Linked DNA regions of Alligator mississippiensis. The protein of the gene in region 1 binds, or shares a complex with, the protein of each later gene. Links are inferred from orthologs where the notes say so. Each region holds a gene or a part of one and is shown on either strand. Other genes may lie near its edges. The genes, in order: YWHAG and CASP2.

The links.
Region 2: the proteins of YWHAG (region 1) and CASP2 are in contact, whole or in part, in a crystal structure (PDB 6S9K), measured with the Homo sapiens proteins. The link is inferred for Alligator mississippiensis from reciprocal best matches to the Homo sapiens genes YWHAG and CASP2. Residues at the interface, in NP_036611.2 of Homo sapiens: Glu15, Asn43, Val47, Arg57, Arg61, Lys125, Arg132, Tyr133, Pro170, Gly174, Leu177, Asn178, Val181, Glu185, Glu213, Asp214, Lys217, Asp218, Leu221, Ile222, Leu225, Asn229, Leu232, Trp233; in NP_116764.2 of Homo sapiens: Asp137, Leu138, Ser139, Leu140, Pro141, Phe142, Pro143, Val144, Cys145, Glu146, Leu150, Lys152, Lys153, Leu154, Ser157.

The regions. Positions count from the first base shown.
Region 1 is NC_081837.1:16,881,843-16,896,436, reverse strand, and holds the start of YWHAG (14-3-3 protein gamma), read right to left. Parts: upstream 7,429-14,594; 5' UTR 7,256-7,428; coding exon 7,169-7,255; intron 1-7,168. UniProt on the Homo sapiens protein: Adapter protein implicated in the regulation of a large spectrum of both general and specialized signaling pathways. Binds to a large number of partners, usually by recognition of a phosphoserine or phosphothreonine motif.
Region 2 is NC_081827.1:153,829,044-153,844,301, forward strand, and holds the start of CASP2 (caspase-2), read left to right. Parts: upstream 1-7,863; 5' UTR 7,864-8,035; coding exon 8,036-8,185; intron 8,186-15,055; coding exon 15,056-15,223; intron 15,224-15,258. UniProt on the Homo sapiens protein: Is a regulator of the cascade of caspases responsible for apoptosis execution. Might function by either activating some proteins required for cell death or inactivating proteins necessary for cell survival.

The DNA.
Region 1 (14,594 bases):
GGTTGGTGAAGACTGGTTATGAGTCAAGATAAACTGAGTCCAGCCTAAACTAGATGGGACAGACCAAGAACAGTAGTACGATGTGCAGTATTACATGGTTTACTGATCCCTGAGGTGCACATGCAAGTCAGGTGTTCAGGAACAGAAATGCCAAAGACCAACTAGACTTCCATTTCCATTGCTCATTTCAGGATCCTTCATGGTATTTTACTTCTCTTGAATTGCATTTACTAGATTTGTTATACCTAGGCTATTTTAGCACTCTTATTAATAGGATGGTCTGCCCATAAAGACAGTGACAAGACCTGACAGTCCTGTTCCCATCCCCCCCCCCCAAGTATCACCTGAAATCCAGCTTGCCTTAACTAAAACTATGAATCTTTCTAGACCAGGGATGGGCAATTATTTGGGACCACATAGGAAGTTTTGATAAACTGTTATGGGCTGGGTCAGTATGCTCCTCCCCACCCCCTACAACTCACCAAAGCTCCCTATGTGAGATGGGGCCATGGGTGGGCAGGAAGCAGCATTCAGGAGTCGGACTGACAGGAAAGGCCAGGATCATGGGGCAAGGTCACAGAGCAGTGACAGCAAAGGGCTGGAGCCAGAGCCGATTTGTGACCTGCTCGTTGCACACCCATGTCCGGGGGGGGGGGGGGGGGGGGGGGGGGGGGGGGGGGGAGACAGACGCGTGGGAAGCGTGGGACAGGGGGCTGGCTGCCTGGGAGGCAGGGGGTGCGATGTCCAAACACCCACCAGCCAACGGGCAGAGCAGGTGGAAAGTGGCCTGGAACAGGAGCCGCTGGGACTGAAGCTTCCTCCCGACCCAGAGCTGTGCAGTAGGGGCAAGAGTTGGAAGAGCCACCACTGGAGGCAAGGGGAGCTGAGCAGCATTCAGGCAGCTGCAGCCACAATGGGAATAGCCCCGCCAGAAGCTGTACGTGCTGGCTGCGGCCAGGCAGGAGCACGGTGCTCTCTGCTTATAGCAAGGCTCAGCCCCATGCTGAGTTCAGTGGGGGCAGCCGTGGGCCAGATTTAGTCAAGAGTTTTCCTGCCCATGTTTAAGCCAGCCTTGCTTGCTACATTGTAGTCTGCCTTTTTACCCCAGGGTCAGATTGGTATGGACTGTGAGGGTTTCTGCTTTCTTTTAGAATAGGGCATGATTCTCTTCCTATCTCACAAACATATATCAATAACTTTTACAGCAGCAGGCTGTTGGCTGCTGTGATCCCCTGCTTTACCTGCGGCAGGTTAGGGTGTTACGTCTTGTTACGTCTCAGGGTTAACTCTTAAAACTGTAGAGTCAAGACAACGGATTTGTAGAGGATAGTTTAGGTAGGGATGATCCTGCTTTTACGAAGGGGGTTGGACTACATGAGGTCCTTTACAGCTCTAATTCTCTATCATTCCAGGTCAAGTTCTATACACCCCAGCACAGCCACCAAAAATGTTTTCTATAACATTTCTGCTCACAAAAGGTATTTATATTCATGTATGGTGCCACACAGACTACAAGGGAAACCCAAGGGAAGAAATCTACTAATCTAGTTAAAGATTAACAGAGATTTGCTGCCCCCATTTCCTTGGCCTACCAGGTGAGTGGTTACTTGTTCACAGTTCACGCTATGGGGCTTTGCCTACTTTTAGTAGAACCTGGAAGCAAGTTAACTAATCATGCAAAACATGGCTTTAAGTAATGAAGCATTCAAGGCTACAAGCAACTGCTCTGTTATGCTTCAGTGATAGCTATCTTGGTTGACCCAGGGACCTCCAGAGCTGGAAGTCAGTCTCTACTTCGAGAGCCAGGCTTTAAAGCCAAGAGCTGTAACAGACCTCAGACTGTTGACTGGGGTCAGACAGGAACGTAATCAGTAGCTGCCTTTACCTTCTCGTGTCATACAGAGTTCAGACTAACCTTCAATGGGAGCATAATCTGGGGTTCTTGCCTGGATAGCCTTATCTTTGTAGCCTTTATGCCTAAAGCGAACACAAAAAATATCACAAAGCAAGCAGGCATTACATTTAAGGGCTCCAGCTCTTTCAATATTGCTCTGTCACTGGAATACTCCATAATACCTAGAGACGCTAATATTACTTGTTATTACTGATAGCATGGTTACAATTACGGCACGGCTTTCCACTCGTATCTCACAGCATGCTGGATCCAACTTCCAGGACATGTCTAGTCAAACATTCAGGAAGTGACAAAAATTTAATTTTAGCCAGTTTAGCAAAGCTATGCCCTGTACTGTTTTGGCAGTTGCCTACTTTACTGCAGAACTCTGGAATGGTGCATCATAAAAATATAGTCTTGCTGCAATTCTTCAGGGCATCCAGAAAGGGGTTCATGACTGAGGTACTGACAAGAGCAGTAAAGAAGCCCAGAAATTCAAAGATGCTCAGAAAGCTATGGAAAACCATATGCAAGTTTAACCTTCCAATAAATTTAAACCTTTGCAGGAAGTAAGGTGCTGGCCTGTGAACCTCCTCCTTCAAGCTCACAGCAAGGTTACAAATGCTACAAGATCCCTTAGGGCACAAAGGGGCCAACAAGCATCCCTGGACCTTTTATCAGAGCTATGAATTACCAGATTTTTTTTTCCCAGGTGCAAAGACTGAAAACAAAGCTCACTGAGCATTTACCCCCCCCATGAACTATTAACAGGAAACAAGGTGAATGAATATTATTTGAGACACACTACTACACATTAGCAGATATCATAGGTTGTGGGAAGGACTGGTAGTTGTCAAACCAAGCAAAAAGAGGAAGAGATAAAGTTAAATGCAAACAACTGCTTGCAAGTTAAATAAATAAATAAAAAGGAAGAAAAACCTTCAGCTACAACTGTAATATTCTAGAAACATCAGGTAGTTTCATTGACTCCTGGGTGTTTGCAAGTTCTTCTCTTTGCATATTTAAGTAGCAAGATTATTGCAACATGGTGATATTACATGGTTCTAAGCCTCAATACTAAGAACTGTTCCTCCTCTTGTTTCATTCTCTGCAGTCCTTTCCTTTGTGGCTTCCTTACTTCTCATCACTCCTCTGCAAGATGTTGCCACAATCGCTTCCAACTCTTTCACTTCTGAGTTTTGGGAAAGTCAGCAAAAGGCTTTAAAATTACTCACTCTCAACTTCAAGATCCTGCACAGCACCACTGCAAATCACATCTTTGCTCTAAGCAATCCTGCTCCTACCTACCCAGGCCCCAAACCAGCTCAGTTCTTGTTTACTCACTCATTTTATACTTTTCCTGTGCCTCAGCTTCCAACTTGACCCTTGAACAACCTCAAAATATCAGAGATGTACTCTTTTAGACCCCTCTTGATGCAGTAGATCCTTAAGGTGCATGAGAAAGGAGGGGGAGGAGGGAAAGAGGCAAGAATGTTGCATCTTGACCTGTGTATCTAAAAGAGGCACATAGTTTGGACTCTCACAGAGGGATAACACTTCATGCCAAATGGTGCGTTTGGATTCCTGGAATGGGGTAGCCCAGTTGCCATCAGATAATGACATTTATGGCAAGGTCCACAAGCCATACCTAGATTCTATTCTTCCTAGGAAGTCAAGATTTTAGAAGCAACTTAATGCATCCTGCAACATTTTGGACTACATGGAAATTACATGTTTTAGAGGAGACTAGATAGAATTTTTCTATATAGAACCTGGGAAATAGTTTGGACTGGTCTTGTGCTTATGTTATAAAAATAGAAGTGTTGCAGCCCCTATAAAAATATAACAACTTACAGAACAAGCCTATTAAATAGGAAGACCAGGCCAGGAGCTTTAAAAGGCTAATGATTCCATCCTTCAGAAAATAGTTTTATTAAAACAATGAATATCTGAGACATACACCCCATTTTTGCAGGTGGGATGGATGGATGGATAAGTGCCAGGACTGTACTTCATATGCACACACTTAGGAAGGAAACAATTTCCCAAGCATCACATGACTTGGATGGTTGGCAGGGCTCCACCTCCAAAAGCCTGCAAAGATGTCACTGCTCCATTACTGCTAATGGATATTGATCAAGCCACTACAGCATAAGCAGATGCATCACACAGTAAACTCTAAACCAAGTTAAAGCTAGCCTCCTGGAGTAGCCATTCAGACAAAAAGCAACCTGCACCCACTTGAGGCATTAAGGACAATTTTTTTTCCACTAGGTCAAACTTAAATTTAAAAAATACATGAATAAATAGAAGGAATAAGAACCTTGTCAGTGACGTGCTATTCAGAACCCTAGTTGCCTTTTGAGGGGACTCCCCTCCCCCACACAAATCCCTTTCTCTGGTTTGCAGAAATTGAGGGGGGTACCAGTACTGAATGACTGATTAGCCAGCAGAATCCAGGAACAGACTTGTCAAAAGGTCATTCATTATAACTTGTGCTCTGGGCTCATTCTGTGCTCTTCAGAGACTCTCAGACCACCATACCGAAGGGTAATAGCCCCATCTGTATGGGTGTATGAAGGGATGGATGAAGCGATTTGCCCAAGGTCAGCCGGCAGGTCAATGGCACAACCAAGACTAAAGCAAGGCACTCTTGTGCCCTAGTCCAGTACTGTATCTATCCAGCAATATTACTTCTAAAGGTACTCACTCAAGAAGCCAGTTTTCCCCTGATCCTTCATAGCAATTAATGCAGCACAGGAAGTACCACACTGCTTCAATTGAGCATAAACTATCCACTATCACTATCCAGCTTCATTGGCATTACCCAAGCACAACAATGGATTTGTGTAGTTAGCAAATTTAAAAACCAAGTTTATCAAGTGCCTACTAGATATTCAGATGTGGAGATGATAACCAAATAAGGAAACATTTTTATTCAGTTTTGTACACTCCACTGCAGTAATAGGCTGCCCAGTAGATGATGTGTTTAGAAAGAGTCCAGCATGCTATGTCCAATAAGAAACCCTAACTGCAATTATTCTATTTAAAAGCTTCCAAGGAAGTATGGGTTGGGTTTGTTGAATTAAGTGACTGAAGGCTGCATCACAAACCCATTAGTCATTAATAACATTTAATCTTATAATTGATTTTCAAAGATGTGACTATGTTCTTGTGTGTTAACTACTGCACTGTACTTGAGTTTGCACTAAAAACAAAAAAACGGTGCCACTGCTTTCTTTATATACAATCTTATAAAGAAAGACATGCAGCAAGTGTGAGAGTGGTGGTATTCATGCTTGATCTAATGATCTGTCAGGAATGATTTGTCATGCATTAGTTGTCAAAAGATATATGAAAGATCTATCATCTAGTTTCTGGGAGAACGTTAATCCCACTGGATAACTACATGGTAACATTTCTGCATCAATTCTGAAATATGCAATCTGCATGCTCTCTGCTACCACCTGGGTGCAATGCAGCTTGTACCACTGCTTCTGACATCACTGCGTTGCTACGGAAATGAGTCCGAGGTCACAAGCCTCCTGCACAACTGGAGATGGGGAGGGGAATGGGTGATTAGATGGGACAATAAATCAGTGCAACATGTCCAGTAAGATAGGACCATGCATAGATCCAAGTAGCATTTTCCAGGTTATGGGAAAAAAAAAAAAAGAGAAAGGAAAAGAAAATGAAATGCTGCTTGTGTGCACGTGTGATGTAGTAAGAGCTCGAACACCTCCAGTATAGTTCAGCTATAGGAAACCGATTCCAATGTACTGGAGATGCAACAGTCCAGATTGCCGTTTCATGATGGCCATTAAAAGTAATCATGACCTTTTATTAAGTCAGCCTTTTCCTTCTAAAAAAGAATACAGAACTGAGGGGGGGAGGGGAAGAAGCATACCAATTATATCTGTGGAGAAACAAATATATTGGAATAAGATTACTTTGCATTTAAGTCTATGTTCTGTTTTAGATAGCAGTAGCTATATATTACCTGAATAAAATATTTAATATTTGCACACATACATTTAAACCAAAGCTCAGGGCTCTACAAAAAAAAAAAAAAATTAAAATAAAAAAAAAAAAATGGAAAATTCAATCCTGCAGTAGAGCAGCTCATGTATTAAAGCCACCGAACCGCTGTCAAGCTCATTTTGTTCCGATTGTTCCACATTTCATTTATGGAGGTACAACTCCCATCCCATTCTCAGGCTGTGACAGTTCTGCCCATATGATAAATGCAAGGTTACTGACAAAATGGTGCAATATAAGCGAATGGAGCTGCATTCAAGAGACTGCGACATTCCTAGATCAGCATTCACTTCTCATCAGCAAGGGAGGACACCCCAGCTTCTCTTAAAGGCTCAGACCTGACCAAGAAGACAAATATAAAAGAACAGTTTTCCCCTTTAAAGCAACCCCTCCCTCCCTCCACCCAGTCTAGCCTCTCTGCAATATGACAAATGCAGAATCTTCTGGAATGACTTGATACTGCCTCCCACGATTGCTTTGTTTGCAAGATCAGATCAGAGAGGCTTTTTTTTTTTTTTTGTTAGATTGTCAAAAAAATGTGTGTCAGTATTAATTAAAAAGACACATTAAGGTGTCACAAACCAGATGGGTCCGCTAAAACGCAGAGCCTTTATTTTAAGAGCGTGAAATGAAGACAACCCTGACTCAGCTCAGAGATCTTGAAACGCAATTAAAAGGAAAAAAAAAAAAAGGAAGGAAATAAGCGTGAGCCATTAAAGACTTAGAAGTCACGGAGGACACCAGTCCGCGCTAGTCGTGGGAATCGGGCACCGAGCGGAGGATGCGGCTAGAGAGAGAGCCGGGCGGCGGGCGAGGAAGGACACGCATCCCTCATGTGGCTCGAGGCAAGTCCCTCCGAGGATCCTCAGCCGCCCTCTGGGGGGTCACTCCAGCCCCCGCGGCGGCGGGCAGGGACCGGGGGCGGCAGGGGACCCCGACACCACGGGGTGATTTTTCTAGATTTTAAGCCCAGGACTGAAGGCAGGCAGGCAAGGAGGGAGGGTGCGGGGAGGGGGCCAGGGCAGCTGGCGGGGAGGGCACCGCCCAGACACGGGGTGGGGGTGGGGTGGGGGGGCGACGGCATCTCCTCAGCTCCGAGGGCATCTCCTCTGCCCCGGGCGGGGGGCCGAGGGGAGGCACGGGCCTCGCCCGCCCGCCCGCCCGGGCCCTTTGTTGCACCCGCGAGGGGGGAGCGAGGGGGAGGCAGGCGCCGGGGCCGGGCCGGGCCGGACTCACGTTCTTCATGGCGGCCGCCATGTCATCGTAGCGCTCGGCTTGCTCGGCCAGCCGGGCCTTCTGCACCAGCTGCTCGCGGTCCACCATCTTCCCGCCGGGCGCGGAGCGGAGGGAGCGGGGCTGGGCTGGGCTGACGGCGGGAGGCGGCGGCGGCTCGGGGCGGGCGAGCGAGCGGGCGACCAAGGCGGCTCCGGCGGCGGCGGCGCCTCTTCCTGCTGCTGCTGCGGCTCCGGCGGCGGCGGCTGCACCCGCTGCTGTGCGCGCCGCGCCCAGGACACCCCCTACGACCCCGCCCCTACACGTCACGCGGCCCCGCCCCCCGCGCGAGGCACGCCGGGACTCGCAGTGCGCGGCGCCGCCCGAGGCGGACTCGCTCTCCCAGAATCCCCCGCGCCCGGGCAGCCCCCACCCCCGCCACGCGCTGGGCGGGGCCGCGCGCTCACACCGGAGCTGCTGGCAGTGGCCCCGGGGCGCCCCGCGACCAGCACGTGGTGCGGGGCCGTGTTCCCGGTGGAGGTTGCAGGTGGTTTTGGCACTCTGCCCCAAAAAACGTTGCTGACCCCTGTCCTAGAGCCATGGGAAATGCGGGTTGGAAGGGACCTCCGGAGGTCACATCTAGTCCAACACCCTGCCCCAGCAGGACCAGCCCCAACTCGATCATCCCAGCCAGGCTTTAAAAAACCACCAAGGATGGAGAATGCACCACCTGTCTGGGGAACCTGTTCCAAGACTTGTGATATTTGGGATCCTTCCTTTAGGCTTCAATTCCTTGGGGCAGGTGATGATGTGAGAATTGGAGCTTGGGTTTAAAAATCATTCGTTTCTGGCCCTCCTCGTTGCAAAGAACAACCTGACCAGAGCACACCTTAAAAAGCCAAACAGCTGCAAGGCAAATAAAAACCACAAAATGTCCTATTTTAAGCTCATGATTTTTAAGAGAAGCTCAGGATTTTTGGAGGCAGGCTCTAAATCTTTGGAACAGGCAGTGCTTGTACTTTGCTATGTTACAGAATAATTTGGAGGTTCAATTAATGTTTTAAAGAGCTTTGAGATACTTGGATGAACAGTACCATATTATAGAAATGAAAAGTAGTATTATGATTTGGCAAGGTGCCCTATATAGCACAAAAAGTTACATGGTGACAATTATAGTATCATATGTATTATTATATTATTAAATGGTGATACTATGTTGCTGAGTCACTGTGTCAGGGTAACTGCAGAGTGGTTTATTTCCCCCACCCAGTAATATTCAACAGTTCAGCTAGGAGGACATGGGGGGCGGGAATAGGGATGGTTCCAATCAATTTGGAAGGGAAAAACATTGTTAGGAATGACACCATACAATCCATGAGTGGCAAGCCAATGAGTGCATTATGTTAATTCATCAATTAAAAAATAAATAAAAAGGCATATTCATTATGTACCAGGGTAATCTTAACTCCACATTATGAATTTCATTGGAAAACTTAAAGAGAGACCTTTTTCCCCAAAAAGCCTGTAGACATAGCAACATGTATAAAACATTCCAGAGATTTATAAAAGGAAGTTTAGAGATTTCATATCAGAGAACAAGTCTGCAATGCACTAGTACTAATGCACATTTCCTCCAAGTACTTATTTTGAACCTGATAGCTTCACCTCCAGAAGTGAAAATTGAGTTGTCTCCATAGCCTGTTCTTTCCTTCACCCCCTTGATGAGACAGCCAATACATTTTTGGAGATGGATAATAAATGTCAGGTATAAACAGATGTGGTTATTAAGCAAGATGGCTGCCATAATACATACTAATAACCAAGTTTGGGGTATAAAAAGAATGTTCCCCTCCTCCAAACTATCTGGGAAGTTGGGGGCTTTCATTACAAAAGATATGGTCTCAATCATGAGGGATGCCATCCCAAATGTGCACCACAGATACCTACCCATCATAATGGTCATCATCACTAGTATACACTCACTAGGACTGAGACCAGCATAAATATGTTGCGATAACCCACTGTCCCTTGGTTTGATAACCATGGATGCAAGTGTGTACCCTAAGTACATTACATTAAATAATAATATATTGCCCTTTACATCCCATTCCACCTGAGGATCTCAAAATGCTGAACACACAGTAATGAATCAAGCCTCCCAACCACCATGTCATCTCCATCTTATGAATGGTTAAGTGACTTGCCAGAAGCCACAAAGCAAGTCTGTGGCAGAGCCAGGGATGGAATGAAGTCACCCTGCCACCTAGTCCTGTGCTGTAACTATGAGATCAGCCCACATTCAATTTCTGTCCCACAGTATCAGGAGAATCAACCTCTCAGCCTCCCCACTACCAACTCTTCCCGCATAGATATTGAGTTATTCACAGCAGCAGAGAATGAGGCATTTTAGCATTCATAGCCTAACAATGGCCATTAGTCCAAGTGCCTCATGTCCCCTCTGTGCTGAGAGGAAGGTTAGCCAGGAGCCTTCTTCATCTCCCAGCTGGGTTTCATACCCTGCTTTTCTTTCTTGGACCCTGGTTTTCTCCACCCTGGTGATGACTTACTGCTCTGATTGCTTTGCTGCCTGTTCCCCATTTTTCCCTTTCCATCCACCCATCTCTTCACTGCCTTCAGGCCCGCATCTCCCATCCCCAGATCCAGCTGCCCAGCCCCAACAGTTGCTCTCAGCTGCCATGGAACTGTCCAGCACCAACATCATTCTGTGCCTCCCCTTCATAGGTTTCATAGATTCATATACATTAGGGCTGGAAGGGACCTCAGAAGATCATCAAGTCCAGCCCCCTGCCCCAGGGACAGGAAGTCAGCTGAGGTCACAGGATCCCAGCAAGGTAAATGTCCAATTGACTCTTAAAGGAGTCGAGAGTAGGTGCTTGCACCACCTCTGGTGGCAATCTGTTCCAGGTCTTGGGGGCTCGGACAGGAAAGAAGTTCTTCCTTGTGTCCAGCCTGAAACGGTCTTGGAGAAGTTTGTGACCGTTTGACCTTGTCATCCCTTGGGGCCCTCTGGTGAACAGGCATTCCCCCGGATCCTGATGTACACCCCTTATATTCTTATAGGCAGCCATCAGGTCCCCCCTGAGTCTGCGCTTTTCCAGGCTGAAAAGTCCCATAGCTCTCAGCCTCTCATCATAAGGCCTGTTTTCCTGACCCCTGATCATGCACGTGGCTCTCCTCTAGACTCTCAAGCTTCTCCACACCCTTCCTGAATTGTGGAGCCCAGAACTGGACACAGTACTCCAGCTGCAGCCTTGCAAAGGCCGAGTACAGTGGGAGAATTACATCCTGGGATTTGCCTGAAGCATCTATGGATGCAAGTCAGAGTCTTGCTCACTTTGCCAGCTGCAACATCACATTGGTGGCTCATGTTCATTTTGTGGTCAATCATGACCCCAAGTCCCTTTCGGCCATGGTGCTAGCAAGTGTAGCACTGCCAAGCCTATAAGCACGCTGCAGGTTTTTCTTCCTAAGGTGTAGTACCTTGCATTTTTTGGTGTTGAAGGCCATCAGGTTTTCGTTCACCCATTTTCTGTGTGTGTCAAGGTTGGTCTGGATCACCATCCTGTCCTTGTGTGTGGACACTTTACCCCTAAGTTTACTCCCTTCCTCATGGGAGTCCCCTACAGCATTCCTCTCCCTGTGTTGTAGCAGCTGAGCAGCAAAGACCACTGCCCCGTGGGGACTGCTGTGTCCATCCTCCATCACATCCAGGCTGCACTACAACCTTGGGCTCCAAACTGGATTTCTCTCTAATTCACCACCAGACTATGACAGGTGGAAAAAACAGCTGTCTGCTAACTCCTCAGATATGCCTGAGGAAGTCAGCTACATTTGCTTCTCATGGTACTCACTTGGTCACTGTTACCTAAAACACACACATCAAGATCTTTGTACTTAAATATAAACCCCTTCATCATCTCAGCCTGAAGTACCCAAGAGGTCATGGCCCAACTTCATAACCTAACCAGGAATTTATGGCCATCTTGGTCAGGTCTGTAATCGGTTTCTAGGTTCAGTCAGGATGAGAACAGGTTTTTCCTATGTCAAGGTTCCTCAGCAGCTATCAGTATTCTTGCTGTTTCCCTGTAAACTCTGTGCATTTAAGCAGTTTAGAGAAATACCTTCTTTTGGTTTTATTTTTCTCCATTCCTTTAACCAGTTGGAACAGGATCCTTTTTCAGCAGAGCTTTGTGTTTTCTTGAATGCTGTCTGGCTGCCTTTTGTGTCTGGCACTGCTTTGCATTTATCCGTTACTGTATGGCTCCTAGATACCTCACACCAAACACCCTTTATGCAAATTACATACATGAATGAGAATTATGTGCAGTGTTATAAGTACCACACCTGGTACAGAATACAAAAATCGTGTTGGCATTCATGGGGTTAATAGCTGAAGTTGTATCCTGTTGTGTCCCTCTAAAATTTGGTGACAAGTTGTTGCCACAACTATTATGGAAGGGAAAAATCAATTTGAAATTCATTGTAGCATATTACAACAGTAATCAACAATAGTATAAGCACTTAAGGACAGTAACTCTTTTGAAAGTGGTGCTTTATAGATAATTATTAATAATATTACAAGGATTTATTCAAGATATTTTTGGTGATAGTTCCCAAGCCCAATAGGAATCAATTATTTTAATAAATGGTTTCTGGAGACTAAAAAGTATATGAGCTCATATCTTTTCCTCATATGATATGCAACAATTTTAGATGTCTGTTCTTTTTCTACTTCCTTTCTTTGTCTGTCTTCATGGTCTGTCACTGTCTAATTTGCAATGTAAATCTTAGGAACCATGGATAAAACCCATTGAACTCAACAGTCAAACTCCCATTGACTTCCACAAAGGAAGGCCTCTTAATCTCTGGATTGCGACATATTTGCTTATGGCTCTATCAAAATGCATATTGATAATAGATAATCTTAAATAGATAATCTCATATTTTACTGAGAAAATCCTGCTCTGTGTGTTGCAGATACACTAGAGGGAAAACCAGCAAGCAGGGACCCTCCTCCTTCTTGCGTTACACCTCTGCAGAGATCAGCATTTTTAAAGGCACCTAGTAATGTTGAGCATCAGTGGCTGTTTTTGAAAACATTTGCCTTAATAAGGGCCTTGAAGTCAGTGGAGAGACTCCCACAGAGTTACTGGGGGTTTCACAAGGTTTAGTTTAGTTAATGTTTAGTTGCACTGCTTGTATCAAAGGGGCATGGTCAGGTAGGCTGGAAGTGTAGCCTACTGTTAACTTCAGGAATAAGGCAGAGGCACATATCACTTCTCTCTTGAGCAGCCATGGGAACCACTGCTGAGCACATTTTGCCTCCCATCACCTTTAAACCACCCTTTTTTTTGACACAACACTCATCCATTCCCCAGCCCAGTCTGGCTGGTTTGGGTCTAGCTGGGCCCTTGGTAAGGAAAACCTGCACGGTTGCCAAAACACAAGTATCTGGAATAGCATGAAGCAGGACCCTTTAGCCATCTCTTACAAATATGTTTGATTCAGTTCCACGCTCACATGTGCTGTGTATTTGGCTTCATGGCATCTTTGGAGGTATGCCAGTATCTGGTATAAACACACACTTTGTCTTGTGCGTTGTTTACAGTTTCAATTTCCTATGGATACTCCAGGATATAGCATAGCAGTTTATTATTCTTTTATGAGATACACGGTATAGGCATTCTACTAGTAATGTTTACAATCTCTAGTTTAGAGCATTCAGCAGCATATTTTGTGATATGTCACACTTTATGTCTGGTCTATGCATGATACCCATACATAAAGAACATACAATATCGTAAGAGAACATTAAAGTTATCCGTGGGTTTAGCTCCTGTGTTTCAGATATTGTACCTGTTCCTCCCACAATCTTTTATAATTTATATTACAGCAGTGCCTACAGATTCCTGTGTGGCTTAGTGCTGTATAAATGTAAGAGACAGTACTGCCCTCACAGATCTTACAATCCCCAAGACAAAACGTAAGGTGTTTGTTGTGGGAGACTCCCTCCTGAGGGGGACTGAGGGGGCAATCTGCCGCCCCGACCCCTTAGCCTGGGAAGTCTGCTGCTTCCCGGGGGCCCGCATCCGGGACATTGCAGAGAGGATCCCAGAGCTCCTCAAACCCACAGACCACTATCCCATGCTCCTAATTCACGTGGGCACCAATGACATGGCTCGGAGCGCTCCCAGCCGGGTCATGAGGCGCTACAGGGATTTGGGAGCGGGGCTAAAGGGTCTGGGGGCACAGGTGGTGTTCTCGTCGATCCTCCCAGTCTCAGGCTATGAGCTGAGGAGGGAGAGGAGGATCCAGGTAGTCAACCAGAGACTGCAGCGCTGGTGTCGTCAGGAAGTCTTTGGCTTTCATGACCACAGCCCGCTCTTTGGTGAGAGAGGCAGCGAGCTGCTGGGAAGAGATGGCCTCCACCTCTCTCCCCTAGGGAGGAGGCTCTTCTCAGCCAGACTGGCTGACCTGCTCCACTGGGCTTTAAACTAAGCCCGCTGGGGGACGGGGGGACTACTGCCACTGCTGGCCTGCTGAGCAATCCCTGCAAAGCCAGCGGGTCAAGGCACTTAAGGGAGCCCACCCCTGCCCCAGCCCTGGTAAAGTCTGTGGGCAAGGACGGAGCCCCCCAGGGGACACTTGCCTGCCTGTACACAAATGCCAGGAGCTTGGAGAATAAGCAGGAGGACCTCATCCTCCTGCTCAGTGCAAATAATTTTGATGTCATAGGGATAACGGAGACCTGGTGGGACTCCACCCATGACTGGACCACAGGTATAGATGGCTATACTCTGTACAGGAGGGATCGTGTAGAGAAGAGGGGCGGGGGTGTAGCTCTCTATGTTAAGGAAAGCTACGCGTCCCTGCAAGCCGATATTGGCGACCAGGGTGGACGGCTGGAGACCCTCTGGGTTAGAATCCATGGGGAACACGGCACAGGGGACACAATGGTGGGAGTCTACTACAGACCTCCCACCCAAAGTCCTGAGCTTGACCAGGAGTTTGCCTAGGAACTGGCTGAGGCCGCATGCTCCAGGACCATGGTTGTCATGGGTGACTTCAATTACCCAGACATCTCGTGGGAGGATCGCTCAGCAAAATCCGAGCTGTTGCAAAGCTTCCTCTCATGTGTGGATGACCTCTACCTGACTCAAGAAGTCTATGGGCCAACGAGAGGCAAAGCGCTGCTCAACCTGGTACTGGCTACAGGGGATGACCTAGTTGGCGACCTAGTGATCGATGGGAAGCTGGGTGACAGCGACCACGAGCTGATCACCTTCACCATCCGCCGAAAAGCTGGCAAGTCAGTCAGCAACACGCAAGTCCTTGACTTCAGGAAAGCCGACTTTGACAAGCTCAGGAGGCTTGTCAGTGAGGCCCTAAGGGACCATGACCCCAGGGAGAGGGGAGTTCAAGAAGAGTG
Region 2 (15,258 bases), on another chromosome or scaffold:
AGCACCTGGGTTGGCCTCAGAACCCATACCTAGGGTCCTGGGGGCCTCCCAGGGCTGCAGCAACAGTGAACTTGCCACTTGGAGCCTGGCCAGCAGCCAGTGTGGCTCTGGGTGGCTAGGCCTTAGGTTTGGGTGGTACATACTGCAGCCATGTATGCTGCACTCCTTTTTGTGACATAGTTTTTTTAGGTACCATGATTTCCTGGTAGCTAATTTTGCCACTGCATGGAATCATAAGCACTATGTGCATTTTGCAGTGCCTCCAAAGGCTTTGAGGTGCCACAAACTATACGTTCCCACTTGTGGGGACGCAGCTTTCAGGTGAAAATGTACCCTGCCTTCTACTTTAGACTATGATTATCAATCCCTCCTCAGACTTTTCTTTTCCAGAATCCTAGTTTTTCCATCCTTTCATCATAAGTCATATTTTCCAGACCTCCAATAATTTTTGTTGCTCCCTCTTGGACCCTTTCCAATCGATCTACATTTTTCTTGAAGTGTGGGGGTCCAAAACTGGATGCAGTACTCCATGTGAGGCCTCACCAGTGCTGAACAGAATGGAAGAATCACTTCCTTCTATTTGCAATTTACACTTTTGTTAATATAACCCAATTTGCTAGGGTTTTGTTTTTCTTTTTGCAATAAGATCACACTGTTGGCTCATATTTAGCTTCAGCTTGAGGCTCATGGAACCTGGCAACTCCCAGGTCCTTCTCTGCAATAATTACAGACCAGCCAGTCATTCTCCAGGCTGTGTTTGTGCCTCTCACAGGATAGAATGAGGTTCCCTTTCGTATGTGGGTCCTATGGAAAGCCCCCCTTTGACTTCAGTGGGGAAGCATGTCAAGCCTGATTTCTACTATCTCTTGCAGGGCTTCTCGACTCAGGCACTGTAGGCATCAGCAGAGCAGGATTAATATGCACATAGCATCCCCAGTGCACTTGAATGAATCTCCAACAACAGATATACAATTTGTACATAGGTGTGTTCCTCTTTAGCATAATCACTAGTGACTCTACAGTAACAAAGTGGTGTCAACTGAGGTTTACACTTTCAGGTCCTTACAGTGAAGAGGGAAGATGTTGCTGCCCTCTACTGGAAAGTCATTTTACTAGCTCAATGTAGGGAAGGTTAATACAGTAACTGATCTGTACTTTTTCAAAGTTCCTGACAAATAGTGACAAAGCATTATTACCCACATTTTGAAGCCAAAGAAACTGAAGTGTAGTGAAGTTCAACTTTCTTAAAAGTGTCCACGTTTGATGAATGCTGCAGTTTTGGGGAACTCAAACTGAATCATAAAAGGGTATGATTTTCAGAGGTATTCAGAACCTGCAACTTCTGCTCATTCCAATTTAAGTTAGAGGAATTCAGTACTTCTTTCAATCAAGCTAAGTGCCTCAGAATGTAAGCACTCAAATTAGTAGCCTGGTTTTTTTAAATATTTGTACTGAAGTTTCCTGACTGCAGTTACAGTCTTGGCAGAAATTAAAATAGACGCCAGGCTGCTTGATTGCCTGGCAAGTAGAATGGGATGACTGCACTACCAAAAGGCCAGCCAGTTAAGCTGACATGTACAAGGTGGTCTTACATTATTTCTGAAGGGCACAGCTAGAAACGTTCAAACATGAAATAACATTTGGTGTTTTAAGAACGATGGTAATGAGCTACTAAAGCAGCTCATTGAGGGCTGTGGTAGATTCTCTATTACTTGAAGTCTTTAAATCAAGGTATGCTATAGCTTAACCAGAGCTCATTGAGTTAGATGCACTAATTACTGCAAGAAGTTCTGTAGCCTATAACTTGCAGGAAGTCAAAGGGGAAGATCATGATGGCTTTACTTGGCAGTCCTTTAGCCTCATAGAACAACATTATATTCCATCTATTAGGCACTAAGTGTCATCCTATTCCACCCTGCTCAAGGGGAAGGGGTGGGGGGGAAATAGATCCCCCTGCTTGCTGCTTTTTGTGATTTAGTCTTAAGGGTAAGGTGATTGATGATGTGTACAAAAGTACACATACCACAGATTTATAGGATCAAAAGGAAAGCAGTGCTAGAAGGGACCCAAAAGGAAAGCAGTGCTAGTTCAGCCCCCTGTTCATGGCAGGATCATTCCTAACTAAAACATTCCAGTCAAGTGTCTGCCCAACATTTTAACATTTTTTCAGTAGCCTCCATGCCAAATAGAGACACATGCTACTACCCAAACCAAAAAATATACGTGCAACCCTTGCCCTGTCTGATTGACCAGTTTGGTGCGTCAGGCAGGCTACCTGCATGCTACCTCATAGGCTGAACTAGGCAACTGAACCATGTGAAAAATGGCCTGCAGACTCCTTAGCACAACTGTAGTCTTCATGAGTGTTGCTCTGTCTGTGGCTTCTGCTGGCTTTTGACCTTAATGCCAGTCATTGACCCATGATTCATTGCCCTGGGGTCTGGCTCTTTGATGTCACGTTAGATTGCCCATATGTAAGCTGTGTAACATGACTAAGCCAAACTATATTGGAGAGGAATACATATTGTTTTAGTGGCAGGGTATGCATAAGGCAGAAAGCCATAAAGCACCGACTATGGCCATGAGGAAAACCCCAGAATAAGAACTTGTTGGCTGAGCGCAGGTTGAAAGTCTTGGGAGTTGAGAGCAAATTAATTTTCTATTAGTTGATTCCTTTTTGTTCAAGGAAACAGGACTTTGTACATCATCTTTAAATGAAAAGGATTGCGTCGAAGCTGCCTCAGTCATTAATTAATCCTTCTGTTAAACAATCTGCAGAGCCTTGAACGGTTTGGTTTAAAAGAGGTAACGTGACTAAGAAATTAATATTGACAGTGGCTAAGTGGCACTGTTGGCTCTTAGAGCTAACTGTGTAATCAGAGCAATAGAAGGCTACAGTAACATTGATTTCAAGCTTTTTGAAGATGTGGACAGACATAACTTCATGGGTTATATAACTTGTTCACACTTGTAGTTTTAGCTCTACAGCCATAAAGACTAGATACCTTGTCTTTTATATTAAGAAAGGGAATATATCCCAGTGAGCCACATAACGCTCTAATTTAAGCTATCTCCTACTTCTAGGGTGTTTCTGGATAGCCATAGCTCTAGGGCAGGAATTCAATTGCTACTTCTGCTGCTGAGTCACTCTAGTTTCCCTATAATAATACTTGCGTCATAGCAGCATTGTGAAATGTAATTAGTTAATGACTGGAAGCACTTTGAATATATAACGCTCTATAAATATAAATTATTTCTAAAAAATCCAGCCCTATGAATTTAGATTAAGAAAAATCAACTCACATTGGAAACTAACGTTTCCCTGCAATATAGTGGGTAACCATTCAGCACCACTCCATTGGGCAGCTGACTTGGTCATCTTATGAAAAGGACCAGGGCTAGAGGAAAAGGTGGCATTATTTGAACAATGGATTTTTGGAGCCTGAGGGTAGAAGAAATGAATGTGTTTCTACAAAACTAGGTGGTCTAAATGACCTTTGATAGCCCTTCTAACCTCATGATTCCATGAAAACCATAGTCCCTTTGGTCATAAGCATCTCAGGTAACATATATTGTGACTATCACACCTTGTAATTTCCAGCTGAGTGGAAAGTCTCTCCCAGAGTCCTCCCAGAATCCTTCATATTGAAATCTATCTGGGGGAGGAGTTTTAAATGCAGAGAGTAAATTAAAGACTTGTATGAAGTCAGAGAAAATAAGTCTTCGGAGTGGGTGGAAGAGTAGAACTATACAGGACCTGAATTATTTGTTTGCAGTGGGTTGCCTAATTAAAGTGAACCCATTCAGCTTTTTGCTGCAGATTTTACCTCAAATGGCTCTGTTTCTTTTATCAGCTGAAGCTCATCAGTGGTCTCATACAGTTGATTGGAGAAGTGGTCTGACTGGAGTTGACTGGAGAAGTTCCACTCAGAAATTCACTGGTTCTGTACCTAAAGTCCTGAGCTTGACCAGGAGTTTGCCCAGGAACCGGCTGAGGCAGCTTGCTCCAGGGCCATGGTTGTCATGGGTGACTTCAATTACCCGGACATCTCGTGGGAGGATTGCTCAGCAAAATCTGAGCGGTCGCAGAGCTTCCTCTTGTACGTGGATGACCTCTACCTGACTCAAGAAGTCTATGGGCCAACGAGAGGCAAAGCGCTGCTCGACCTGGTACTGGCTACTGGGGATGACCTAGTCGGCGACCTAGTGATTGATGGGAAGCTGGGTGACAGCGACCACGAGCTGATCACCTTCACCATCCGCCGAAAAGCTGGCAAATCAGCAACACGGAAGTCCTTGACTTCAGGAAAGCCGACTTTGACAAGCTCAGGAGGCTTGTCAGTGAGGCCCTAAGGGACTGTGACCACAGGGAGAGGGGAGTTCAAGAAGAGTGGTTGCTCCTCAAGGGAGTGATCCTCAATGCACAAACTAAGTCTATTGCATCTCAGAGGAAAGGCAGCAAGAGGGCACAGCAGCCCCCCTGGCTCTCCAGGGACCTAGCAGACCTCCTGAGGCTAAAAAGAAAGGCCTACAAAGGATGGAGGATGGGAGTCACCTCCAAGGAGGATTATTCTGCACTGGTCTGGTCCTGTAGGGAGCAGACCAGGAAAGCCAAGGCTGCAACTGAACTCCAGCTAGCTTTGAGCATCAAGGACAATAAAAAGTCCTTTTTCAGATATGTGGGGAGCCGGAGGAAAAGCAGGGGCAATGTTGGACCCTGCTGAACCAGATGGGGCAACTGACACTCAGGAAAAAGCCAACCTATTAAATAGGTACTTTGCGTCAGTCTTTCATCAGCCCCATGGGATGCCCATGCCCGCTACAGGGCCGGGAAGTCCGGGTGAGGGTGATCCCCTGCCCTCCATTAATGCTGACTTTGTGAAGGAACATCTTGAGAAGCTGGATACCTTCAAGTCAGCCGGCCCTGACAATCTTCACCCCAGGGTACTCAAGGAGCTGGCGAGCATCATAGCCCAGCCCCTAGCGCGGATCTTTGAAAACTCTTGGTGTTCTGGTGTAGTGCCCGAAGACTGGAAGAAGGCCAATGTGGTGCCTATCTTCAAGAAAGGGAGGAAAGTGGATCCGGCTAACTATAGGCCCATCAGCCTGACTTCTATCCCGGGGAAGATCTTAGAAAGTTTATTAAGGAGGCCATCCTTAATGGACTGGCCGACGCCAACATCTTAAGGGATAGCCAGCACGGGTTTGTTGCGGGTAGGTCTTGCTTGACCAATCTCATTTCCTTCTACAACCAGGTGACCTATCACCTGGACAAGGGAGATGAGATTGATGTCATATATCTTGACTTCAAAAAAGCCTTCTATCTGGTGTCCCATGATCGTCTTTTGGAGAAACTGGCCAATTGTCGCCTTGGGTCCTCCACGATCCACTGGCTGGAAAATTGGCTCCGGGGTTGGACCCAGAGGGTAGTAATTGTTGGAAGTCACTCATCGTGGTGTCCTGTGACCAGTGGGGTCCCCCAGGGCTCTGTCCTTGGACCCATACTGTTCAACATCTTCATTAATGATGTGGACGCTGGAGTCAGAAGCGGACTGGCCAAGTTCGCAGATGACACCAAACTTTGGGGCAAAGCATCCACACCAGAAGACAGGCGGATGATCCAGGCTGACCTGGACAGGCTCAGCAAGTGGGCGGATGAGAATCTGATGGTGTTCAATGCCGATAAGTGCAAGGTTCTCCACCTTGGGGAAAAAAAACCCGCAGCATCCTTATAGGCTCGGCAGTGCTGTGTTGGCTAGCACTATGGAAGAAAGAGACTTGGGGGTCATCATTGACCACAAGATGAACATGAGCCTGCAATGCGATGCTGCGGCTAGTAAAGCGACCAAAATGCTGGCTTGCATCCATAGATGCTTCTCAAGCAAATCCCGGGACGTCATTCTCCCCCTGTACTCGGCCTTAGTGAGGCCGCAGCTGGAGTACTGCGTCCAGTTTTGGGCTCCACAATTCAAAAAGGATGTGGAGAAGCTTGAGAGAGTCCAGAGAAGAGCCATGCGCATGATCAGAGGTCAGGGAAGCAGACCCTACGATGACAGGCTGAGAGCCCTGGGGCTCTTTAGCCTGGAAAAACGCAGGTTCAGGGGTGATCTGATGGCCACCTATAAGTTTATCAGGGATGACCACCAGTATCTGGAGGAACGTTTGTTCACCAGAGCGCCCCAAGGGATGACGAGGACGAATGGTCACAAACTACTACAAGATCGTTTCAGGCTGGACATAAGGAAGAATTTCTTTACTGTCCGAGCCCCCAAGGTCTGGAACAGCCTGCCACCAGAGGTTGTCCAAGCGCCTTCATTGAACACCTTCAAGATGAAACTGGATGCTCATCTTGCTGGGATCCTATGACCCCAGCTGACTTCCTGCCCTTTGGGCAGAGGGCTGGACTCGATGATCTTCCGAGGTCCCTTCCAGCCCTAATGTCTATGAAATCTATGAAATTGCAGCAGCTATACATACTCTCAGCTAATTCACAAACCCTCATTTTCCCAGAGGAGTTAGAAACCTATCCTTGTGAAGTATTCAACTATATATTGAACCAATATGGGCTGGAAGGCCCTGGCAGATGTTTCATTTATTGCACAAGAAAACTGTTAATCATGTGATTAATTAGATGCGACATATTAGCCAATTTATGACTTCATAAATAGCAAACCAGCCATGGAGATGTTCCATATTAAATGTGGATTGAATCACTTTAAATTGAGCACGTGGCAGGTTTTGGGACTGCTCTATGCCTGATCCCAATTAGCTGATTGTTGGGATCAGGTATAAGGCAAGGTCAGGACATGACTACCCCTACCTGATCCTTGGATCTCAAACTGGGACTGGGTACTGCTCTACATCTGATCCTGATGATCAACTGAGGGTTGGGATCAGGCAGGAGGCAGCCCTGAGATCCAAGACTTAGCTGCCCCCAGCTTGGTCCAGTTTGGCTGTGGCAGTTACACAACTGGAATCTGAGGAATTTTATGTCCCATCCCAAAAATCACATGTCCTTTCATGCATGTCTGGGATGGAAGAACATGCGATTTCAGGGATCGGGCACGAAATTCCTCAGATCCCAATCACAGCATTATATTCACATCTGCCAGGAGTCTGAGAATGCTTGAAGGAGTGGGTCCCTCACGCCCGCAAGAACAGCAAACCTCTCTTGGCAGGGAACTGAATCGGCTTAGCTAGACTTCTTACCAGACCCTCCACAGTGATGCTTTCCTTGTGAGATCAAGTCCCTTGCCTATACCAGGTAAACACCACCCCACCCTGGGGTTATCATAGACCACGTACCACCTGCCAGCCACTCTAGGGACCAGCCTCAAGGGCATTGGGGGGGAAGGGAGGACACGCTGGCAATCTACTAAATTCAAAGTCCTTGAAACGCTGCTACCATTTCTAGGACACGCGTGAGCCATCCGCATGGGCTTCGTACTCTTGTAATACCGTCTTTCTGAACTGGTTCTGATGCCTTTCGAGTAGGCTACGGCAGGGACCTCGCAGCAACGTACTGTACCGAGACCAAAGCACTGAGTGGGCATCAAACCCAGAAAACCCCTGATTCCCGGGATTTCCCAGCCAGGGGCTTTCTGTGCTTTCTTCACAGCGTCCAGTACCGCCTTCCCGCCTGCTTCCCCTCCTGCGATGCCGCAGCTAGGCCAAGGAGCAGGAGCCTGAGGAGCTGCCCGCTGCAGGCTCCTGCTCTCCCCACCCTCGCCTCCTGCTGGGTCGGGCTGCACGCGACCACTCCGCCACAAGAACAGCGGCGCACGCGTACACGGGACTCCATTGTTCCGTGCCGGAAACCGCTATGGCGGCGAAGTGGAGATTTCGCGCGCAGGCGCTCACGTGACCACGAGTTGCAGAGCTGGTTGGGCGCGGCCGCGTATGCGCGCTGATTTGACACGGGCTTTGGCAAGCGGGGCGGAAGCGCTGGGCGGGCTGGGCGCGGGGCCGTCGGGCTGGCGCACTGAGCGCTCGGAGCAGCCCCCAGTCCCGGCGCGGCGCGGGGCAGCCCGGGCCGATGTCGGGCGCGTGCGGGATGCAGCCGTGCCACCAGGAGGCGCTGCGCAGGCACCGCGTGCCCCTGGCCAAGCAGCTGGTGCTGCAGGAGCTGCTGGAGCACTTGCTGGCGCGCGCCGTGCTCACGCCGGAGATGAAGGAGGCCATCCAGGTAGGGCGGGGCCTCGGCCTCCGCTTCCCTTCCCGGGCTGCGGGACCTGGTCTGCCTCGCGGGAGCCGGCCACGGCACGGGCTAGGGCGCGGGGATGCGGCATTTCACATGCGGGCCCTTGTGAGCTTGAACTGAGAATAGAGGAGCTGCTGTTTCGTGGGTCGGGCCCCAGCTCCATCTTGCTCCGTCTCATATGGCCACCAGGGGCGCCCCCCCCCATGCTGCAGCTGGGCCAGGGAGCAGGGGCCTGAGGAACTGCTTGCTGCAGGCTCCTGCTCTCCCCACCCTCGCCTCCTGCTGGACCTACAGCCCTCTCTCCTTTGGTCCTGCCTCACGACCACTGCATGACCAGGGCCACCTGCAGCCAAAGGGGACCTCACAATGCCGCCACCAGCAATGTCTGCCTGTTAGCTGGTCTAGGAGCAACCCCTGTGTCTACCCTCCTGTGGTGGGTCCTGTGCTCCACTTCCTTTCTCCTGGTGTTTGTGATCCGCTAAGTCAGCAGCATGCTTCCCTTTCTTTTCTGCATATGTCCCTGTTGTCTTTTTGTGTTCCCCCCCACAGCTCCCCTCCTCCCCCCTGCAGTACAGCCTGCGGAGGCACCTTGCACCCCACAGCAAGCCACTTTCTTCCTTCCAGGCAGAGGAGGAGCATGCAGCTCCCTCCCTCACACCCCACCTGACTCCTTCCCACCATAGGCAGCAGAAGGCTGCGGCTAATGGGGCTTAGCCCCCCCAAACGCAGCTCCATTGCTCCAGCACCACTGGCATGCCCAGTGTACTTGCCATGCATCAGCCCCGCAACAGCCCCGAGTGAGGGGGAGGGGCATCTCTGCACTACTTCTCCGCATCCTGCCATGCACTCGCAACCCCAGCACCCACATAATATTTTCTCCTGCGACCGCTGCTTCCAACCTAGCCTCCCATGATATGGCAAGAGTCCCTTGAGGGAGCTGCCAATATGCTGGGGAAGACCCTGCAGGGGCAGGGGTTTCCCCACTGGCCAGTCTCTCTTCGAGGGGGGCCATGGAGCCCCCAAGCCCAACCAGGGCAGGGGAAAGGGCAAGGGCTCCTCTTCTTCCTCCTCCACAGGGGGTGGGAAGAGTAAAGGGCCTACAAAGAAAGTCCAGTTAGCAACACTTGCAGGTGCCCCTCCCACTCAGTCTTCCTTCATCTCTGCAAGCAGGGCTGCTCAGCTCAGCAGTTGGAGCTATTCCTAGGTGGCTGCAGGGAAGCTTGCAGCCTCGGAGCCTGGGCCCTCTTCCACTTCTGCCCACACATCCTCAGGCAGTTGGGGTCCCCTCCCCAGCATCAGCAGGCACAGTGGGGTGCACTGCGACATGCCTGAGATTAAGCCACCACCGTTTGAGAACTATGTGAGCTCACTCAGGCAGTGGGGGCCCCTGGAGATTGACAGTCTCCAGATACTACCGCAAGGTTATCATTTACCTTGCCATGGAGGCTGCCATACAGGAAGCGGCAGAGAAGAGGTTTGCAGTGTGGGGGGGAAAGCGTGTCCCACTCAAGCCCCTGGAGGAGCTGGGAACTCGGGTGGTCTTCAGCCCCACCCCCTTACGTCCCTAATTGGGCCCTCATGCCCTTCCTGCAAAGCCTGGGGAGAGTTCTATCCCTGGTCACCACTCTCCTGCTGGGGTGCCAGGACCCCAACCTCCCCCCACATCCAGTCCTTCCACCACCTTCAGGTGCTGTATGCCTCTGCATAGTGTATGGTCAAGTCACCATCCAGCTGGAGGTGAAGGGGGGACCTTTATTGTCTCCTTCCAGGGGTCCCTCAACCACATTAACTATATGGTGGTGGAAGTTAGGTACTTCTGGTACTGGGTACTGGGGCACCTCTGCCAAGAATGTCCCCTCAGTTAGCGATGGGGGGCACCACAGCACTCCCACCCCCCAAGCAGAGAGGTACCACCACCACTGGCAACCCAGCCCTAGCATCCAATCCCTTGGCAAGCTCAGGAGACACCCCCCCCCCCCCCCAATGCCACAGCCACCAGTGGGGTCCCAAAGCAGGGAGGGGGGCACACCAGCCCCCACCACTGCTACTCCCTCCTAGCCCCACGATACTTCCAGCATCTCAGGAAGACCCCTCCTCAGGCCACCCTGAGGCTGGCTGGGTGCTGGTCCCACATGGGTGGTGATCTACCATCCATTGCAAGGTAAAGTGCAAAGCCCAGACGCAGCTTGGGCCCTCCAGTATGAAGGAGGCTCCCCCTCCCACCATCCAAGAGGAGGGCTGACATTGATGTTATACCCACCACCTCCCGAGCTGCACCAGGAATCCCACCTCCAGGAAAAATAAAAAAGATAACTGTTACCAACATGGAAGAGGGCCCAGGATGGCAAGGCCATCCTATGTTAGATTAGCCTATGGAGAAGACTCCCTCCCCCCAACTCAGCCGGCTTTGACCTGCCCCCAACTACTACAGGCACTGGACCTCAGCCCCAGCCACCCTGGGGCAGGTCTGATGGCAGAGACCCCCACTCCGACCACCTGGGGGAGATGGGAGTCCAGGGGCTCGTGCCAGTGGGCCCCGATGGGGAGGATTCCCTTCCCCAGGACTATGGGGAGGGCACCAATGCCACCCAGGTGCGTGAACCATCTTGACAACACCACCACCTTCACCTTTGTCAGGGTGGAGGAGTAACGGATACCCTGAATTGTTGAATTGAATCTACTCAGTTGAATTGAATCTACTGGTCCATGCTAAATACCGCCCAGGTCCATGCTAAATACCGCCCAAGTCCATGCCTCCAGCACTAGGCTGGCCCCCTTCAGTGACCATCATCTGGTATGCACTCAGGTTACTCTGCAGCCTGAGCATCCAAGGCTGGCTTCCTGGCATTTTAGCAACAGCCTGCTGGAAAATGTGGTCTTTGGTCACCTTCCAGGAGTTCTGGCTGGCCTGGTGCAGGCAGCGGCAAGCATTTCCCTTGACCCAGAGATGGTGGGACATGAGGTAGGTTTGTGTCAGGCAGTACTGTTGCTTCTACATCGGGGGCGCACCTAACAGCTGCTAGAGAGCAGCTCAAGAGGGAAGTTCAGGAGCTGGAGAATTGCCTGGTTGCTGACCCAAACTATGCATCCCTGCGTGGAGAGTGTTGAGAGGGGGAAGGAGCTTTGTGCTCTGCATGACTGCTGCACCTGCGGTGCATTCATCTGCTCACGCATCAAGCTCCTTTGGGAGGTGGACTGGACTGTGGCTTCTACTGCTTCTGTGCTCTAGAGAAGAGGAGGGGTGCCAAGAGGTACATCACTTGTCTCCTGACGGAGGATGGCACCTACCTCATGGACTCTGGTGAACTGCAACGAAGGGTGAGGGCTTTCTATGCAGAGCTCTTCTCATCATATCTGGCCAATGCTGATATGGCTGCCAGGTCCTGTGGGAAGGTACTGCCATAGGTTTTCCTGGTCAACCAGGACTTGCTCAAGTGTCCTGTCACCCTGGCCAGGCTCTTGGATGCTTTCCATCTGATGCCCACCAACAAAGCTCTGGGCATTGACAGACTGACTGTGGAGTTCTGCTGTGCCTTCTTGGATGTCCTCAACCCAGACCTAGCTGGGGTTTGGGCTGTGTCTGAAAGGGATGGGGAGCTCCCCCTGTTGTGAAGGAGGGCTGTCCTGACCCTGCTGGCTAGAAAAAGGGACCCTCTTCCCTCAACCTGAGGAACTGGCACGTAGTTTCACTTCTCTCTGCAGACTGCAAGGTCATAGCAAAAGCCATTTCGCTGCACCTGAGATATGTGTGGGTGAATGTGACCAGATGTAAACAGTTCCAGGGAGCTCCATCTTCAGCATCCTGTACCTAGTGCAGGATCTCCTCAAGCTTGCTTGTAGGGACAGCCTGTCATTTGCCTTCCTGTCCCTTGACCAGAAGATGGTGTTTGACAGGGCGGATCTTGGCTACCTCACAGGCATGCTGAGAGGGTGTTTGGCTTTGGTCCCTGCTTCATTTGGTTTCTCCAGGTGCTGTACACCTCTGCAGAGCGTATGGTCCAGCACAACTGGATACTGATGGAGCCCATCCCATTCAGCTGGGGAGTGCATCAAGGCTGCCCGCTGTAAGGCTAGTTCTACCATTGCCCTCGAGCCCTTCCTCTGCCTCCTGCGCAAGTGGGTGGTGGGGCTGGTGCTTGAGGAGCTTCCCACGAGCATGGTTCTGTCAGCGTATGCCAATGTGTTCCAGAGACATGGCCACTCTGAACTACACGCACAGTCACTGCCAACATGGAGCTGATGCCGGAGCTGTAGAGCCTGCCTGCTGCTTGATTCAGCTGCCCAGAGCCCAGGCAGGCTACAAACAGCTGCACTGGGCTCCAGAGCCTGCTGGTAGCGGGGGAGAGACTGGAGTTGCACTGCCTTGGGCCCTTCCCGCAGCCTGCTCCAAGTCATGTGTGCACGTGCCAGTACAGAGCTGATGCTGGAGCCTGGCCCAGCTGTTTGCAGCCTGCCTGCTGCAGTGGCTCAGAGCCCAGGCTGGCAACTAGCAGCTGCTGCAGGCTCCAGAGCTCAGTCATCAGCTTTGTGCCGGCAGCAGGGGAGAGGCTGGGGTTGTGCTGCCTCAGGCCTGTTTCCCCCTCCCCCCCCCACAAGGCACGCGTGCAGCTGGTTGCAGACTCCTGGCTGCAGCCAGCCCCAGCTCTGGGTAACTGCTGTCAACTACGGAGCCGGGCTCCTTGCAGCAGGGCTTGCAGCTGAGCTGGCCTGATTCCTACCTGCTCCAAGCCCAGCGCTGGCCCAGCCGCTGTACTGGGATGAGGCTGGCACTGCCCCTTGCCAGGAGTGCCGCACATTTGTGGGCTTAGGTGTGTGGAGTGGGTAGGTGGTTGGGCTGATTGGTAGGCTCTGGGCCGGGGCCTCGGCTGGCCATACTGCAGCCCGGGGGCTGGCTCCCCAAGGAAGCACAGGGGCTCTGGCAGGCCCAGGGCATTGTTGGGTCGGACTTTGTCTGGTGGCCCAGCAGCCCGGCTCTGTGCACCCATGCATCTGGTTCTGTATGTTTGTCTGCCTCTGGTTCTGTGCGTCTGTGTGTGCACGCATGTCTGGCTCTGGATGTGTGTGTGCATGTGTCTGTTCTGGTTCTCTGTGTTTGTGCACATGTGGTTCTGTGTGTGTGTGTATGTGCCTGATTCTCTCTCTGCTCTCTTTTCTCTCTCTCCTTCTTTCTCTCCTCTTTCTCTTATTTTTCTTTTTTCTCTCTCACCGCAACATGCTGAACAAAAAAAAGTACACAACAACAGAGGCAACATTTATGGTTATTAAGTATACTAATATGAAGTGCGTCCTGCCATGTACCACTGCCCCCCCCCCCCTTTTGTTTTTCTGGCATGCCGGCACTCTGGCACCTTCCATGGTAGACATTGTGGGCTTTTTGGGACTCCAGCTAAAAAAAGTTGCCTACCCTGTTCTAGACTATGCTAGGCAGGGATAGGTGCATCCTTCTGTGCTGGCTTGTGAAGCTGCCCGTGCTGCGTGTTCCCTGCTGCTTGCTCTGGGAAGTAAACCTTGCTGCCCACTGCCCTTGCCTACATTGACCAGGTCCTGTGTAAGGGCAGTTTCTCCTCCCCAGCCCTCTGGAGATAGTTGTGAGGCTGCTGCCTTGGCAGGCCCCACTGTGCTCCCTGCCCCAACATCTTAGCATGCTGTGGCGTACCAAGCTGGTCTGCCTGTGAACAGCCTACTGCCACCAGCTCTACATGCTTGTACTCTGCACTGTCCATCATCCCGTCCTCGTGTCCTGCCCCAACAACGAGCGAGACAGCCTAGGTGAAGGCGGGGGTGAGGGTCCCCGGTGGGCAAGTCTTATTCCACCTTGATCTCATGAGCCACTGGGGACCTCAGTTGGCACTTCCTGAATGGAGCTGTTGCCATGGGCGTGTTTACGAACACCTGACGCCTGCCTGTTTTCTCAACAGAGGGAGGCCCTGGCACACACCTACTTTGAGTGCCAGGTTGCAGCCCCTCTTCTGCCTCCTCCAGAACTTCCTGCTGAGGTTTTGGCTGCACTTCTCCCCACACCTTTGTTATGTACTTTCCGTCCGCTGCCCCAGCAAGTCCTGGGACTTCCTAGTCAACCTCCTCCTGGCTCTGGCCAAACTGACCATCTGTAAGACCAGGAAGGCGGCTTTGGCCAGGGTAGCACCCTGGGCAAGTGTGGGGCTGTCTAATTGGCACTCCGCTCACATCTCCGAGCAATTTCACTGGTCAGCATCCACAGGCTCCCCCGACTTTTTTGGGGGCATTGGGCACTGACTGGTGTGCTCAGCTCAGTGTCCCCTTTCAAATCCCTTGTTGTTAACTTATGACCTCACTCCTATTCCTGTTTTTTTGTTATTGTTGTCCCAAACACTCAGTTGATATGTCCCCAGTGGTCTTCCCTTCTCAAGGGAGGTTTATAGTTTTTAATGATGGGCCAAAGCCCATCACCCTTGGCATATCAGATAGGCATGTGTCGCACGGTGGCAGAAAGTGGATGCTGAAATGGAGAGTGAACTGGGTAGGACCAGGGCTTTTTCCATTGCTCCTCTCTCACTTGCTGCCTCTAGTGTTTAAGATCTAGGACGTTCTGATTCAGAGGCTGTGCCCCTCACTCCCATGCCCAATAGCTACTGATACCCCTTCCCGCCAAGAATCTGTTCAATCTCTTTTTGAATGTAGTTAAACTGTCAGCTTTCTCAACATCTGGTGGCAGAGTTCCACACTTTTAAGTACATGCTGTGTGAAAAAGAACTTTCTTGTGTTAGTTTTAAACTTACTACCTTCTTATTTCATTTTGTGACTCCTAGAATGAATCGAGAGAGATTTTGGTTGGCATATCTATTATAAGTTTGCTTGTTGGTTCTTTGCATCTAGACCAAAGCCGGGAGCTTCAGCCAAAATGTTGAATTCCTCAGCCTTCTGCCCAAGAGGGGCCCCCAAGCCTTCTCAGCCTTCTGTGAAGCTCTGAGAGAAACCAGACAGGAGCATCTGGAAGAGATGCTCTTAAATGCCATACAACACTCGAGCAACGGGTATGTAAAGGTAAGGAATGTCAATTCTGAGTGACACATGTTTGG